2 separate regions of the Mus musculus genome follow, and region 1 is reported to be linked to region 2. Evidence: microRNA targets listed by miRTarBase, many of them from high-throughput screens and not tested one by one. Region 2 holds a microRNA gene; the other region holds the end of a gene's coding sequence.

Region 1 (7,513 bases), not on the chromosome of region 2:
GGGAGGGAACATAGCAGCAGACAGACAGGCATGGCGCTGGAATAGCAGCTGAGAGCTCACATCTGATCCACAAGCACTGGGCAGAGAGACCTAATGAGGAATGGCTTTTGAAAGCTCAAAGGTTATGTCTAATTTTCTGAGGAACCGCCAGACTGATTTTCAGAGTGGTTGTACCAGCTTGCAATCCCACCAGCAATGGAGTAGTGTTCCTCTTTCTCTACATCCTCGACAGCATCCTCTGTCAACTGAGTTTTTGATCTTAGCCATTTTGACTGGTGTGAGGTGGAATCTCAGGGTTGTTTTGCATTTCCCTGATGACTAAGGATGTTGAACATTTCTTTAGGTGCTTCTCAGCCATTCAGTACTGAGGACCCAGATATACTACTCCTGGGCATATACCCAGAAGATGCTCCAACATGTAATAAGGACGCATGCTCCACTATGTTCATAGCAGCCTTATTTATAATAGCCAGAAGCTGGAAAGCACCCAGATATCTTTCAACAGAGGAATGGGTACAGAAAATGTGGTACATTTACACAATGGAATACTACTCAGCTATTAAGTTCTTAGGCAAGTGGATGGAACTAGAAAATATCATCTTGAGTGAGGTAACCCAATCACAAAAGAACACACATGGTATGTACTCACTGATAAGTGGATATTAGCCCAGAAGTTTGGAATACCTAAGATAAAATTCACAGACCACATGAAGCTCAAGAAGGAAGACCACAGTGTGAATACTTTGGTCCTTCTTAGAAGGGGGATCAAAATACCCATGGGAGGAGATACAGAGACAAAGTTTGGAGCAGAAACTGAAGGAAAGGCCATCCAGAGACTGTCCCACCTAAGGATCCATCTCATATACAGTTACCAAACCCAGACACTATTGTGGATGCCAAGAAGAGCTTGCTGACAAGCACCTGATATAGCTGTCTCCTGAGAGGCTCTGCCAGTGCCTGACAAATACAGAAGTGGATGCTCACAGCCATCCATTGGACTGAGCACAGGGTCCCCAATGGAGAAGCTAGAGAAGGGACCCAAGGAGCTGAAGGGGTTTACAGTGCCATAGGAGGAACAACAATATGAACCAACCAGTACCCCCAGAGCTCCCAGGAACTAAATCACCAACCAAAGTATACACATGGAGGGATTCAAGGCTCCAGCTGCATATGTAGCAGAGGATGGTCCTGTGGGACATGAATGAGAGGAGAGGCCCTTGGTCTTGTGAAGGCTCTATGCCCCAGTGTAGGGGAATGCCAGGACAAGGAAGCAGGAGTAGGTGGGTTAGTGAGCAGGGGGAGGGGGGATGGGATGGGGGGTTTTCGGAAGTGAAATGAGGAAAGGGGATAAAATTTGAAATGGAAATAAAGAAAATATCTAATTAGAGAGAGAGAGAGAGAGAGAGAGAGAAGAAAGCTCAAAGGCCACTCCTACTGACATTCCTTCTCTAATAAAGCCACACCCCTAATCCTTCCCAAACAGTTCCACCAACTAGAAACCACGTATTCAAATATATGAGCCTCTGGGGGCCATTCTCAGGTCGACCACCAGAGTGCTAATGAGTCTGCTGAGCTCTCTGATAAAGCGTAATCTTTACAAGGCAGGAAAGGATATGACAGATCTGAGGACTTTAGGCTGGCATATGGATTGTGCTTGTGACATACTGCAGATAAAAGAGCAAGGAGGAAAAGGGTCTGTCCAGGGTCACTCGGAGGCAAATGTGGCAAGGCTCATGTGGAACCAGCCTGAGTCCTTAGAGTCAAAGTTCTCAGAAAGCAAACGCTGTGCCAATGGTGCTCTAGACTCCCGCGTGTGTCCCATGCGTGTCCAGCCTGCAGACTGCAGGCCACATGTGACCAAAGGCAGTTATGAATGTGGCCCAACACAAATGTGAGAACTTACTTAAACATTGTGTTTTTACTATATAAAACCCCCCCAGTTGTATGATCCTGGAGCATGAATTTTGTAGGTGATTATGTGTAGGACATTCCTTGTAAGCTCAACGCCTGAGCAACACTTCACCGAAGACAGGAAGAATAACACCGTGCAGGTGAAGGAGGATGCGATTGTCTTAGGCTGCACACTTATCCCCTCAGAATATGTGTACCTTTCTTCCCTAAAAGAAAATGCATTGGAGATAGAGACTGTTGATCTAGCCTGGGCTCTGTTTAGCAGCCATGATGGAAAGGCCAGGGCCACAGTGCTGGCCTGGAGCCTGTTAGAACCAGGGAGCTGCCTCCAGCCACAGCATAGCAGGCTAGGGTGCTCTCCTCTGGGCCTGAGGCCATCATGGACAGGGAGATGTGCAGAAGCAGCACCCCAGGATACTTCACACAGGACAGCTAACAGACAACGATTGTAGTTTATGGAAAGATAGCTGGATGTGGTTTTGTCTCCTATCCATTGCTGCTGTATCCAACATTTTTTCAAGTTTTTTGTTTGTTTGTTTGTTTTTTAAAGCATGTGTATGAATGTTCTGCCTCCTCTCACCTGTCTAGCTCCTTGTCAGGACTCAGTACCTAACTCCCCAGTGGCTTTCTGTAGCCTGACTCCTAGCCCCCACCTCACCCCATCATCCCCTCGAACACCATGCTGCTTCTTTGCTTGGGGGCCATCTTTATCTCCCCCTTAGACTGTGAGGTCTGGCAAAGCTGGGCCAGGACTCAGTCATTTCAGGATAGTGCTGTAGGTATGGTCACGAGAGGACAGGGAGCTTAGGAGAACTTAGGGGTCGGTCCTCAGCTCTGGGAGGACCTCATCCCTACTTGAGCTACTTGAGCTCTTCCCTTGCAGTTTCCTCTGGGTGTCCCAGTTTGCAGAGGACATTCTATCTGTCCCGCTCCTCTACAGGCCTTTGCAGAGCTGATGTGTCTGACCTACGAGGCTGTTGTAGGTATAGGCACCGGCCCAGCCCTCCAGAGACCCACAGCCTGCTGGATCCATGAGGCTAAGGGCAGATAGGACCCAATACAAGTGCTCAGAATAGGGTCCTTGGTGCCGGGAGATACATGCTCAGAACTGATAGCTCAGAGCAGGAAGACACTGGTGGGTGGTTATGGGGTGTCTAGATGAAGGCTGATCTCATTAATCATGAGAGGGTGAAGTGAGGGAGGGAAGGCACTGTTAGAATGAGAGAAGCCACGAAGCTTAGGAGCTGAGACAAAAGGGCTTCTTCCAAAATGGAAAGTGGTGCTGAAACTTGGACCCTAGAGGCTGGGAGAGGGACGGTCCTTAGTCAGTCACTGGCTACCTGGTCAAGCTCCTTGTGCCCAGAGGGGAAAGTGACTTACCCAAGGTGACTGTGTATAAACAAGGAAGCCTGAACCCCAACCCAGGCTTCCCGACCAGTGCCCAAGCTTGTGCCTCTCCCGGAAGCTGCTTTTAGCAACCACAACAACTGAACGCTTTGGCAGCTGAGTCAGTCAGTGGCCAGGCAGGTGCTTAGAGCCTGCAGCCTGGAGACGCCATTCCTATCCTGTCTCCAGCCTCAGGGTGGGCAGACAACGTGTGTCTCATATTCGCTCTTCTGATCACAAGAAATTGTCTCTTCCCCTCCCCTCCTCCTCCTGCTGAGTTCCTCAAGGTCTTACAACAAACTGTAAATGTCCCCACCCAGGACAGAGACATCAGTCTGACACTGCCCTAGAGTCTGGTGTGGTGTGGTATATGGGTGGCTGATGCTGCTAAGTGAATCCTGTACTGGTCCTGACATAGTCCCCTTCCTGTCCCTAACTGCTAACCTGCTACCAGCCCCAGCAGAGCTCAGCTTAACTCTGCCTCATTTGCTCTGCAGCAACCAGCACTGCTCCCTGGTGGCCAACTGCATTCAGCCCCAGAGCCAGGTCTTGGGTTTACCCTGACTGACTCTGGTCACCTTGAACATCTAAGGCTTCAGCATCAGGGCTTATAGGAGTCTTTGAAGATCCTGGGGACAGAGTGTCTTCCAGATCGGGTCTCTACATCTCTGTGGTTGGGGTTCGAATGTGGACGTTTGTGTGTGTGTGTGTGTGTGTGTGTGTACAGAGAGGCACTCCCAGGTTTGATGTCTGTGGATCTGGGGACAGACCAGGGAGGATGATGGATAGAGCACTTTACACACAGCTGAAGGACAGAATGACAAACTTTTATTAGAAATGTTCCTTGCTTGTAGGTCACATTCACATTACAGTGTAGGCTGCACTGTCTGGCTCTGTATCCTACTCTGTGATGATTTCCAGTTAAAACTGAGTCTGGGTGGAGGGTATCTTGGAACACACAAAAGATGCCAAATGGTGGCGCTGGCGGCAGCAGCAGCAGCAGCAGCAACATTCTGTGAGAGGATAGGTCTCAGGTCCTGCAGAGACTGTTATACCCACCTTTGCAGTCCCAAGGCCACACCGCGGGGCCCCAGCTGATAAATAAACGGTGCATCACACACATATTGGAAACGAGAAACAAACTGGAAGTCTCCTACAGTGAAAAAATAATTTGCTCAAAGAAAGCTTTGTGACAGCCAGGCTTCACCCTGAATGATGGCTGCCAGAGCCCTGGATACTCAGGGTGTCTCAGACTTGGTGTCACGAGGGCCCCATCTTCCTTAGCACCTTTGGGAGAAAGCCACCTTCACCACACTCCTCTTTCAAAAAAAAAAAATGCAAACACTACTTACAATGATCATACCCAAGAAGAAACTCTGTCCCCAGGGCAAGTCATCAGATTCATGTCCCTGAATAAAGTGGGGAGGGGAATGGCCAAAGAACTTTATCCATGACGGAAGAGGGCAGGAGGGGATGAGGAAACCGGCTCAGAGAGGTAAGGCCAGGTGCTTTTGCCCTGCTGTGGGACCCTGGACTCATCTCTCAAAGTGGTACCAAGTCTTAAAATGGAGGACAGTCTCTCTGCCCTGGCCAGGGGCAGGCGTGGAGGAGACCATCAAGGGCTGGCTTCTGTCATTCATTATTCAGAACCCATTTTCTCTCCACTGGCCAATTTTCCTGGGTCTGTCTGCAGTGGGGAACTAACTGGATGCCGTCTCCTGCCCAATGTTTTATTCATTCTCTTGAGGAAGATAATGGTCTCTACACTCTGGTTCACGAGGTGGCCTCCTGGTCCTGGTCGGTGGCAGCAATGGCAACAGGCATTCCTTTTCCAAGTCACTGATGTGTCCTGACGCTCTGGAGCTGTGTGACCACAGATGACAGCCGATCCTCAGCGCCGCTCACTGGTACTGCAGGTAGTTTTTCAGAGACTGAGGCAGGGGCAGGGAGCCGATGTCACGCAGGCGCTGTCGGCCCAGGGCTGAGCGGATGGATCGCCGGCACAGGTCCATCAGCGGCAGAGGCTCAGCTGCAAAGACAGTGAAGCAAGCGTGAGTGCCCACACCTCCTCACTCCGCCTAGCTTGCCTGCTGCCTACCCTTGCCCCTGAGCTGGCTCAGTGCTCCCTGCTACTGAAGAGCCATCCCTGCTTGCAGTAAGAGGCACTCAGCAATGATTATGAAAGGCAGCTGCAGCTGCTCAGACTATAACGTTTAGAACAACCGCTAAATAGTGGTATTTAAAGATGAATAGTGGAAACAAAGTTATCCACTGCCAGGGTAAGTTCTGATGTAGAATGTGTGGCTCAAAACGTTTAGGATGATTTATCTCAGGGTACTCAGGAGGCTGAGGCGGAAGGATCATTTGAGCCCAGAAGTTCAATACCAGCCTGGGCAACACAGCCAGATCCCGTCTCAAAACAAGCAAGCAGACAGGTTAGATTCCACCAGGCTATTGAGATTCTTTCAAACCCACACGCTTTCCCTCCAGTGTTTATGATGGGCAATGGAAGGACACATTTTCTTACAGCACTCAAGTTCTGGGGGACGGGGGAAGGGAGGTAAGTTAAAATCCACCAGGGACCTGGAAGGTGGCTCGAGGGATAAAAGTGCTCCCCACACAAGCCTGATAACCTGACAGTGAGCACCAGAAGCCACTTAAAAAATCCAGATGCAGCTGCGGGCATCTGTAAGCCCAGCACACCAGTGTAGAGATGGAAAACAGATGAGACTCTGACTCAACATGGTAGGAGCGAACCCATTCCCCAAAGTGGCCCTCTGACCTCCATACGCCCACTGTGGTGCGCTGGCACCTCTCGATACAGGACAGTTTACTGAGTTACACCAGCTCACTGCAGATACACATATTAATTCTTTCCTCTTTCATTTCCTGTGGTAATCCTAGGGATACAGAGACAACTCAGCCAGGGCCAGAGCCAGCCCTGGAGGTGAGCTTGTGGTCTGGGATTTCCTTATGACCTAAGATTTTTAAGTGAATGAATGGTTTTGTTTTTGTTTTTAATTTTGCATGCATGGTGCTCTGCTTGCATGTATATCTGTGTATCATTTGTTAGCCTTGTGCCCAAAGAGGCCAGAAGAGGGTGTCGGATCCCCTGAAACAGAAGTTACATACAGGTGGTTAGGAGCCACCATGTTGGTTCTGGGAGTTGAACCCCTAGTCCTTTGGAAGAGCAGCCTCTTAGCCTCTGAGCCATCTCTCCAGCCCCAGCAAGTGAATTATTTTAAAAGTGTTAATATAGGAAAGAATTCTGAGCGCAAAGGGACAGAAACTAGGCAGCTTCCTGAAAGCTTCGAGGAGAGAAACCTGAATAGGGTTTTGAAGTATGGGTAGGAGTGTTATAGGCACACTGAGGCTGGGCAGTGTTACAAGTAGAGAAAACAGACAGGGATCAGGGATCAGGGAGACAGGGAAGCTGAGGGCAGGGACAGGGCTGGTAGCTGAAACAGACCAGTGGAGAAAGAAGATGACAGTGGTCCTATTCACCTGTGACTGACATATGGCCTCGATGTTTTGCGCTACAGCTAAGCATCCTTTCTTTTCTTTTCTTTTCTTTTCTTTTCTTTTCTTTTCTTTTCTTTTCTTTTCTTTCTTTTTTTTTTATTTTTCAAGACAGGGTTTCTCTGTATAATCCTGGATGTCCTGGAACTCACTCTGTAGATCAGATTGGCCTCGAACTCAGAAATCCACCTGCCTCTGCCTTCCCAAGTGCTGGGATTAAAGGCGTGTGCCACCACTGCCTGGTTCTAAGCATTCTTTTGGCAACAGAGTACGTAGGATTGTGGTCAAATTATAAGGAGCAAACACAAATGGTCCGCTGTGTGGGAATGGTATCAGGAGGGAGGGGCGAGCAATGGCAGCTGGGGTTCGAGGGAACTTCTTCGAGAGGTGCAGTTCTAATGGGCCACCACCGGAATCCAAGTGGGACTCTCATGAGGGCCAGATAATACATCCAAGGCCACATCTTGCTGTCCTTTGCTGAGGCCAGACCGCAGGCTAGTAGCTTCACTTTCTCCTCTTATCTTTTGATTCTCATACAAAAGGAGGCTACCCAGGGAATGCCAGCCGTGTATCCCAACCTGCCCTGCCCGGCGCGCGCGCACACACACACACACACACACACACACACACACACACACACACACACACGTTCTTTTGGGGGGCTCAATTCATGCAAATGCATGTATCAAAAACTCAT
Region 2 (7,513 bases):
CATCCCCAGAAGGTGTATCTCCCTGAATGCTCTCCTGGAGGTGGGTGATGTCCTGTTCAGTGAGTGACTGTTCTACAGAGGACTGGCACACCATGGTCTCAGACACCTCAGAGGCCGTGGGTGTGCAAGTCTGGGTCTTGAGACGGACTGCTGTCTCCATTTGAAGAGTTTAGGAAACTAGTTTCCTGCTTCAAAGTGTGTACATCACAGTCATTAGCATTATGCAGATCCTCTTTAAGACTCAGTGTCTCATTATTAGTGTTCTCTGGGTAATTAATGATTCCAATCACTCCATTACAATTAATCTCTGGCGCACCACCCTCTCCAACATGCTCCGTGAGTGTCTGGTCCTGGCCAATGGAATTTGCCTCTTCAAGTTTCTCTTGGGTCATTTTATTGGGTGGGTTCTCTGTCAAGGGTCTTTCAACAGGACTCTGATTCTTCTTGCTTGTTAGGTCTTTTTTTGCCCAGGGCCAGACTCTTTCTTCCTGTCCTCAATTTCCTGCATTCACTTCTCTAGTAATTCTGCCTGGCGCTATATTTGTAAAGATGGATAACAGATATCAAAATTCATTGAGGTATGAGCATTTATTCCAAATTATCCATAGCTTACAATGTTTACATTTTAAAAAGATTCATGTTCTCTTCTCAGAAGCAACAGTTTTAATAGTAAACTCAAAGGTGGAGTAATGTTATCTTATGGAACTAATCCTTGGGTGACATGGAAGAAAATCCTTGAACATTTACATTATGATGGGAGTTTTTGGAGAGTAAACAAGAAAAGGGGATAACATTTGAAATGTAAATAAAGAAAATATCTAATAAAAAGTTTAAAAAAATGAATAAGTTGAGGCTGGAGAATTGGCTCAGTGCTTAACAGCTCATGCTACTCTTGTAGAGCCACATTTTGGTCCTTGATTACAAGATAAGGGCATGGAAATTAATGATCAGAATCTTAAAAGCATAATTATTTTTCTGTATATAAAGTAAGCCTGAAACAAATTGGGAAAAAATAGGGTTTAGTCCTGTACTGCATAAACATATTTTACATAACTACCAACTACATATGTTACATAATATCGCATTGTATAATGACAGTACAGTCATATTAGTTCGTATAAAGACACTATATTGTTTACATAATGACAAAATCAACATCACTTGAAGTTGTATCTCTCAGAACATAACCCTCTAATTGAGTAATATAAGATTGGAAACTTGTCATAACAAAAACACTCACAAAACCATACACCAACTATATTTAAGCCAATACTAAAAAATATATGAATGTGTAACCATTAAAGCAACTCTAGCCATTTGAAGCTATGCCATGAAAAATAAAGGTGGAAAACTTTTGCTCATAAGCTTCAAATATTGCATAGATGATAACAAGCACAAAAGATTTCTTTGATTGGTGGTTTAGTACCAGAGAGTTCTTGGAGTACTGGTTAGTTCATGTTGTTTTTCGTGTCTCTAGCTGCATATGTAGCAGAGGATAGCCTAGTTGGTCATCAATGGGAGGAGAGGCCCTTGGTCCTTTAAAGATTCTATGCCCTGGTATAGAGGAATGCCAGGGCCAGGAAGAGGGAGTGGATGAGTTGTGGAGCAGGGGAAGGGGGGGAGGTGATAAGGGATTTTCAGAGGGAAAACTAGGAAAGAGGATAACATTTGAAATGTAAATAAAGAATACATATATAAACAAGCACAAAAGATCCTTCTAGAGGGCAGGGATAGGTGCCACCATAAAAAGTAGAGAAAAGAAAATACTCTAAGAAAACACATCCGTAGGTCATGGCTTTCAGCACTATGATATGCTATGACATTTTTACAGTCCCTGTTTTATAAGGTTTGAACCTGGGTATGAATTGTCATTTGTATTAAGCCTTTCCTCCTTTTAAACAAAAGATTACATTTAATTACTCCATTTATATTCTAACATTTAATAACAAGTAAGCAGAAGTCAAATAGTTTGCTTGAAATAACAAGTGTATGAATCTCAGGGAGATAATGACCAATAATGTGAGATGTTTAGATTTTGACACATAGTGATTATAGTACATTGATAAATAATTCCATTTTGATGAGTATTGGGATTATTCCTCAACTATATACATGACTAATTTCTAATATGATTGCAAAAGCTTTTCCATTTATTATAGCAGATTGCTATTCCTAAACTATGAATTCGAGCCTTTAAAATTATTTTAAACATACTAAGTGCTTTTATTCATTTAAAATGTATAAGTTATAAGGAAAATCTGTGAAAGTTTGCAATAGCCATAATTTCTCATAAGTCTCACAATGAAATAGTCGTATCCTTAATCACCACTTGAGAGTGCATCATTGTACTATTTTCTTCTTCTTCTTCTTCTTCTTCTTCTTCTTCTTCTTCTTCTTCTTCTTCTTCTTCTTCTTCTTCTTCTTCTTCTTCTTCTTCCTCTTCTTCTTCTTCTTCTTTTAAATGTTCCTTAATAATACAGAGAATATATTTTTGTCATAACATTTCAAAACTTCAAATTCCTCCCAGATATTCTTACTCTCCCTACAAACCCAATTTCATGCTCTGTCTCTTAAAAAATTACCACAAAAAATACCACAAAACAGGGAGTCAAATTTGGTTTGGCAAATTACTTTTGAGCATGGATACAGTACACAAATGTGGTTGATATACCCAGTGTCACTCCAGTGAAGAAAACTGATTTTCTTTGTCATAGCAGCTATCTGTAGCAAATAACTTTTTGTTTAGGAGCATTGCTTTATGCCCCCCTTCTCTCCTCCATGCTTTGATTTTGTCTGCCTGAGCTTCTTTATGCTCTCACAAACTCAGTGAGATCACTTATGATGTGCATCTGCCCTGTTATATCTGAAAACACTATTTACTTAACATTGCCTGACAACTCTAGCTCTTAAAATCTTCTGCATAGATTCCTGAATGTTAGGGTTTCCCCTAACATTCAGTGATCTATGCATTCAGGTGTGATAAAGATATGAATATCACACTAAGGGCTAAGCACTCAAAAATCTCCCACTGTCTGATCTATGTTACCCATTTGTAAGTCTCCGTGTTAATAACAATCTATTTTAAGAAGTTTCTCTGATGAAATTTGAACATTACACTGATCCATGGGTATAGAAATACATTATTAAGGTTCTTTTTATTACTGTACTCATTTATTAAATTAATAGTAAAAGAATTTTCCTCTAACCACTATAATCTACTTAGTCAAATGCTCTTGGCATCATGGAGTGGGCCTTAAATCAAATAGAATATATATTTGATTATTTTTCTTTTTTTTTTTTTTTTTTTTTTTGAGGTCTCTGCCCAGCCCTGCCTCAGGCTGCTGCAGTTCATTTAATTCTCACAACAACCCTAGGAGGTTGCTCCTAATGTCCCCACTACCCCAAAAGGGACATCTCCGAGAAGGTGGGTGGAGGAGGGGGAGGGGACATGCCTTGGGGGGTCAGCCACGTGCTCATTCCAGAAGGAAGCACCCCACCCCACCCCACCCACGGAGTTGCCAGCAAGATGCTGGTCGCCCCTGACCCGGGTCCCCCTCCTGAGAGGTTCCCAAAGGGACCCTTTTGCTCAGGACATTGTTAGGACAGCATGATCAGTCACAAGGGACGACCCTCCTCGGGGAGGGCAGCACTCCAGTTCACTAGCAGATGAACACGAGCACAGATGTACAGGAAAGGGCTCAGACTCAAGACACAAGCAGAGCAAAGGTCAAGGGCCATGGCCAGTGCCCCCTCACTAGGGCACTGGTTCAAGGTTTGAACCCCAGAGAAACTAGCTGGCCACTGATGATCCTCTTTGTCGCTTGTCCCTCGCTGTCCTGATCCCAGGGGGGTCCACAAGGAGTTGCTCTGTATGGTAGTGGGTTCCTGGAATCCGTGCTCCTTGGCTAGGCCATATAACATGCAGGCAACTTGAGGGAGTGGCTGGGGTACCAGGAGGTAGAGGTGCACAGCAGGTACTCGAGCAGCAGCTTTGGCATCCAGAAGGTGGTCCTGGAAGACTGGTGTGAGCCGATGATGTCATCCCTGAAGAGAGAGCCAGGTAAGAGATTCTTCTGTGGGCGCCCCGGGTTTCTGGAAGAGCTGCAGCCAAGGCCAGCAGAGCCGAGGCGAGCTCTATTCCAGCTCTTCGTCTTCTGTCTTGATTATTTTTCTAATGTTCATAAAACTACTGCACCAGTAGGAATTCAATGTTTTCTTGTTGTTCTCTCATTTTATTTTCTTTGTTTGCACTTGAATCCCAGTGTGTCTATGTAATCAACTTGAATGATATTGATATGAAAATGATTTGTTCCATTTAAGACAAGATAATGCTCTGTTTTAATCAAGAACAGGAAAAGGTACTTTATTTATTTATTTATTTATTTATTTATTTATTTATTTATATGCACATGCTTATTCCTGTGTGGCCTTGAGTGAATACCACTCTGAATGTGTGAAGTGTTTTGCAAGTCGGGGAGGTGTGTTCTTTCCTCTTGAACAGGATATTCTCGTGGTAGTGAATAGGTCAATTTTCTAAGTGTTTATGAAATGTTGCTTACCATGGGACAAAAAGAAACAGGTAATCTGGATACAGAGCTACATATAAGTTTTGGATTGTTTATTTTGTGTAGAGTTTTAAAATAATATCATTGAGAATCATTCTAAATATTTCATTTTGTTGCTTGACAAAATATGTTATTCCTACATATTGTCGTATTTCCTCATGGAATAATTTTTTTCCTGAAGAAAAACATTTAATATTTGCTTTATTGCTAATCTCTAGAATCATCCTCTCCTAAATATCTGAAAATCATTTTAGTTATTTTAAATTACTGTATTTATACATAATTTAACTGTATTTGTTATCATTCTTCAGAATTTTAAATAGTTCTATTTTCTTTCCTTTATTGCTCTGTTCCTGTAAGAAAGAAAGCTCAGACTTATTAATTTTTTGTTTTTGTTTTTGTTTTTGTTTTTGTTTTTTTTAAGTAACTGTTTTCAGTATTATCCTTTATGGTCTTCTGTATTATCTGTGTGGCATAACTTATATTTCCTTCTGTTAGATTCATAAATATTTGGAATTAGAAATATCTTAAGTCGCTTTGAGAACATTTTCCCAACTATTTTAAATATCCTTCTTGCTCCATTTTATCACACCTATCATTTAGACTTTAAAGATCTTCCCTCTACACACAGGATGTAATCACATGGGGAGAGACCAAACACTTCCCAGTTTGACTTTACCTTTTTTCTATGATAAAATAATTGACCTTAATGTCCTAAACGCCCCCCCACGTTTGTACTCTACCTATTTATTATTCTTTCTTTTTTTTTTTCTTTTCAAGATTTTTTCCCCTCTATTCTTTTATTTTTCTTTTTTTTTTTTAATTTTTATTAGGTATTTTCCTCATTTACATTTCCAATGCTATCCCAAAAGTCCCCCATACCCCCCCCCACTCCCCTACCCACCCACTCCCACTTTTTGGCCCTGGCATTCCCCTGTACTGGGGCATATAAAGTTTGCAAGTTCAATGGGCCTCTCTTTCCACTGATGGCCGAATAGGCCATCTTTTGATACATATGCAGCTAGAGTCAAGAGCTCAGGGATACTGGTTAGTTCATAATGTTGTTCCACTCTAGGGATGCAGATCCCTTTAGCTCCTTGGGTACTTTCCCTAGCTTCTCAATTGGGAGCGCTGTGATCCATCCACTAGCTGACTGTGAGCATCCACTTCTGTGTTTGCTAGGCCCCTGCATAGTCTCACAGGAGAGAGCTATATCTGTGTTATTTCAGCAAAATCTTGCTAGTGTGTGCAATGGTGTCAGCGTTTGGAAGCTGATTATGGGATGGATCCCCAGATATGGCAGTATCTAGATGGTCCATCCTTTCGTCACAGCTCCAAACATTTTCTCTGTAACTCCTTCCATGTGTGTTTTGTTCCCAATTCTAAGAAGGGGCAAAGTGTCCACACTTTGGTCTTCGTTCTTCTTGAGTTTCATGCGTTTAGCAAAATGTATCTTATATCTTGGGTATCCTAGTTTCTGGGCTAATATCCACTTATCAGTGAGTACATATTGTGTGAGTTCCTTTGTGATTGGGTTACCACACTCAGTATGATGCCCTCCAGGTCCATCCATTTGCCTAGGAATTTCATAAATTCATTCTTTTTAATAGCTGAGTAGTACTCCATTGTGTAGATGTACCATATTTTCTGTATCCATTCCTCTGTTGAGGGGCATCTGGGTTCTTTCCAGCTTCTGGCTATTATAAATAAGGCTGCTATGAACATAGTGGAGGATGTGTCCTTCTTACCAGTTGGGACATCTTCTGGATATATGCCCAAGAGAGGTATTGCGGGATCCTCTGGTATTACTATGTCCAATTATCTGAGGAACCACCAGACTGATTTCCAGAGTGCTTGTATAAGCTTGCAATCCCACCAACAATGGAGGAGTGTTCCTCTTTCTCCACATCCACGCCAGCATCTGCTGTCACCTGAATTTTTGATCTTAGCCATTCTGACTGGTGTGAGGTGGAATCTCAGGGTTGTTTTGATTTGCATTTCCCTGATGATTAAGGATGTTGAACATTTTTTCAGGTGCTTCTCTGCCATTCGATATTCCTCAGGTGAGAATTTTTTGTTCAGCTCTGAGCCCCAATTTTTAATGGGATTATTTGATTTTCTGGAGCCCACCTTCTTGAGTTCTTTATATATATTGGATATTAGTCGCCTATCTGATTTAGGATAGTTAAAGATCCTTTCCCAATCTTTTGTTGGTCTTTATGTCTTGTTGACGGTGTCTTTTACCTTGCAGAAACTTTGCAACTTAATGATGTTCCATTTATCAATTCTCGATCTTACTGCACAAGCCATTGCTCTTCTATTCAGGAACTTTTCCCCTGTACCCATATCTTCGAGGCTTTCCCCTACTTTCTCCTCTATAAGTTTCATTGTCTCTGGTTTTAAGTGGAGTTCCTTAATCCACTTAGATTTGACCTTAGTACACGGAGATAGGAATGGATCAATTCTTATTCTTCTACATGATAACCGCCAGTTGTGCCAGCACCATTTGTTGAAAATGTTCTCTTTTTACCACTGGATGTTTTTAGCTCCCTTGTCAAAGATCAAAAGACCATAGGTGTGTGGGTTCATCTCTGGGTCTTCAATTCTGTTCCATTGGTCTACTTGTCTGTCACTATATAAGTACCTTGCAGTTTTTATCACAATTGCTCTGTAGTACAGCTTTAGGTCAGGCATGGTGATTCCACCAGAGGTTCTTTTATCCTTGAGAAGAGTTTTTGATATCCTAGGTTTTTTGTTATTCCAGATGAATTTGCAGATTGCTCTTTCTAATTCGTTGAAGAATTGAGTGGGAATTTTGATGGGAATGCATTAAATCAGTAGAATGCTTTTGGCAAGATAACCATTTTTACAATGTTGATCCTGCCAATCCATGAGCATTGGAGGTCTTTCCATCTTCTGAGATCTTCTTTAATTTCTTTCTTCAGAGA

What was found. The annotated mature microRNA mmu-miR-1906 reads UGCAGCAGCCUGAGGCAGGGCU and lies in region 2 at 3,325-3,346, opposite strand. An mRNA with a match to its seed (bases 2 to 7 or 8) in the 3' UTR can be bound and repressed. Matches are read on the target gene's strand: a 7mer-m8 pairs with bases 2 to 8, a 7mer-A1 pairs with bases 2 to 7 and ends in A, and an 8mer does both.
Region 1: miRTarBase lists Spsb4 as a target of mmu-miR-1906. Seed matches in the 3' UTR shown: 7mer-m8 at 4,297-4,303, 7mer-m8 at 4,294-4,300, 7mer-m8 at 4,291-4,297, 7mer-m8 at 4,288-4,294 and 7mer-m8 at 4,285-4,291.

Annotation. Positions count from the first base shown.
Region 1 is chr9:96,939,379-96,946,891 of GRCm38, forward strand. Spsb4 (splA/ryanodine receptor domain and SOCS box containing 4) reads right to left here. Exons shown (of 3, transcript NM_145134.3): 3 at 4,104-5,326. The coding sequence ends at 5,199. Among named protein-coding and RNA genes, the nearest start is that of Gm51657, 46 kb to the left of the region's middle.
Region 2 is chrX:88,756,161-88,763,673 of GRCm38, forward strand. It overlaps Mir1906-2 (microRNA 1906-2), which reads right to left and starts at 3,393; the gene lies at 3,314-3,393. It also overlaps the pseudogene Gm8876.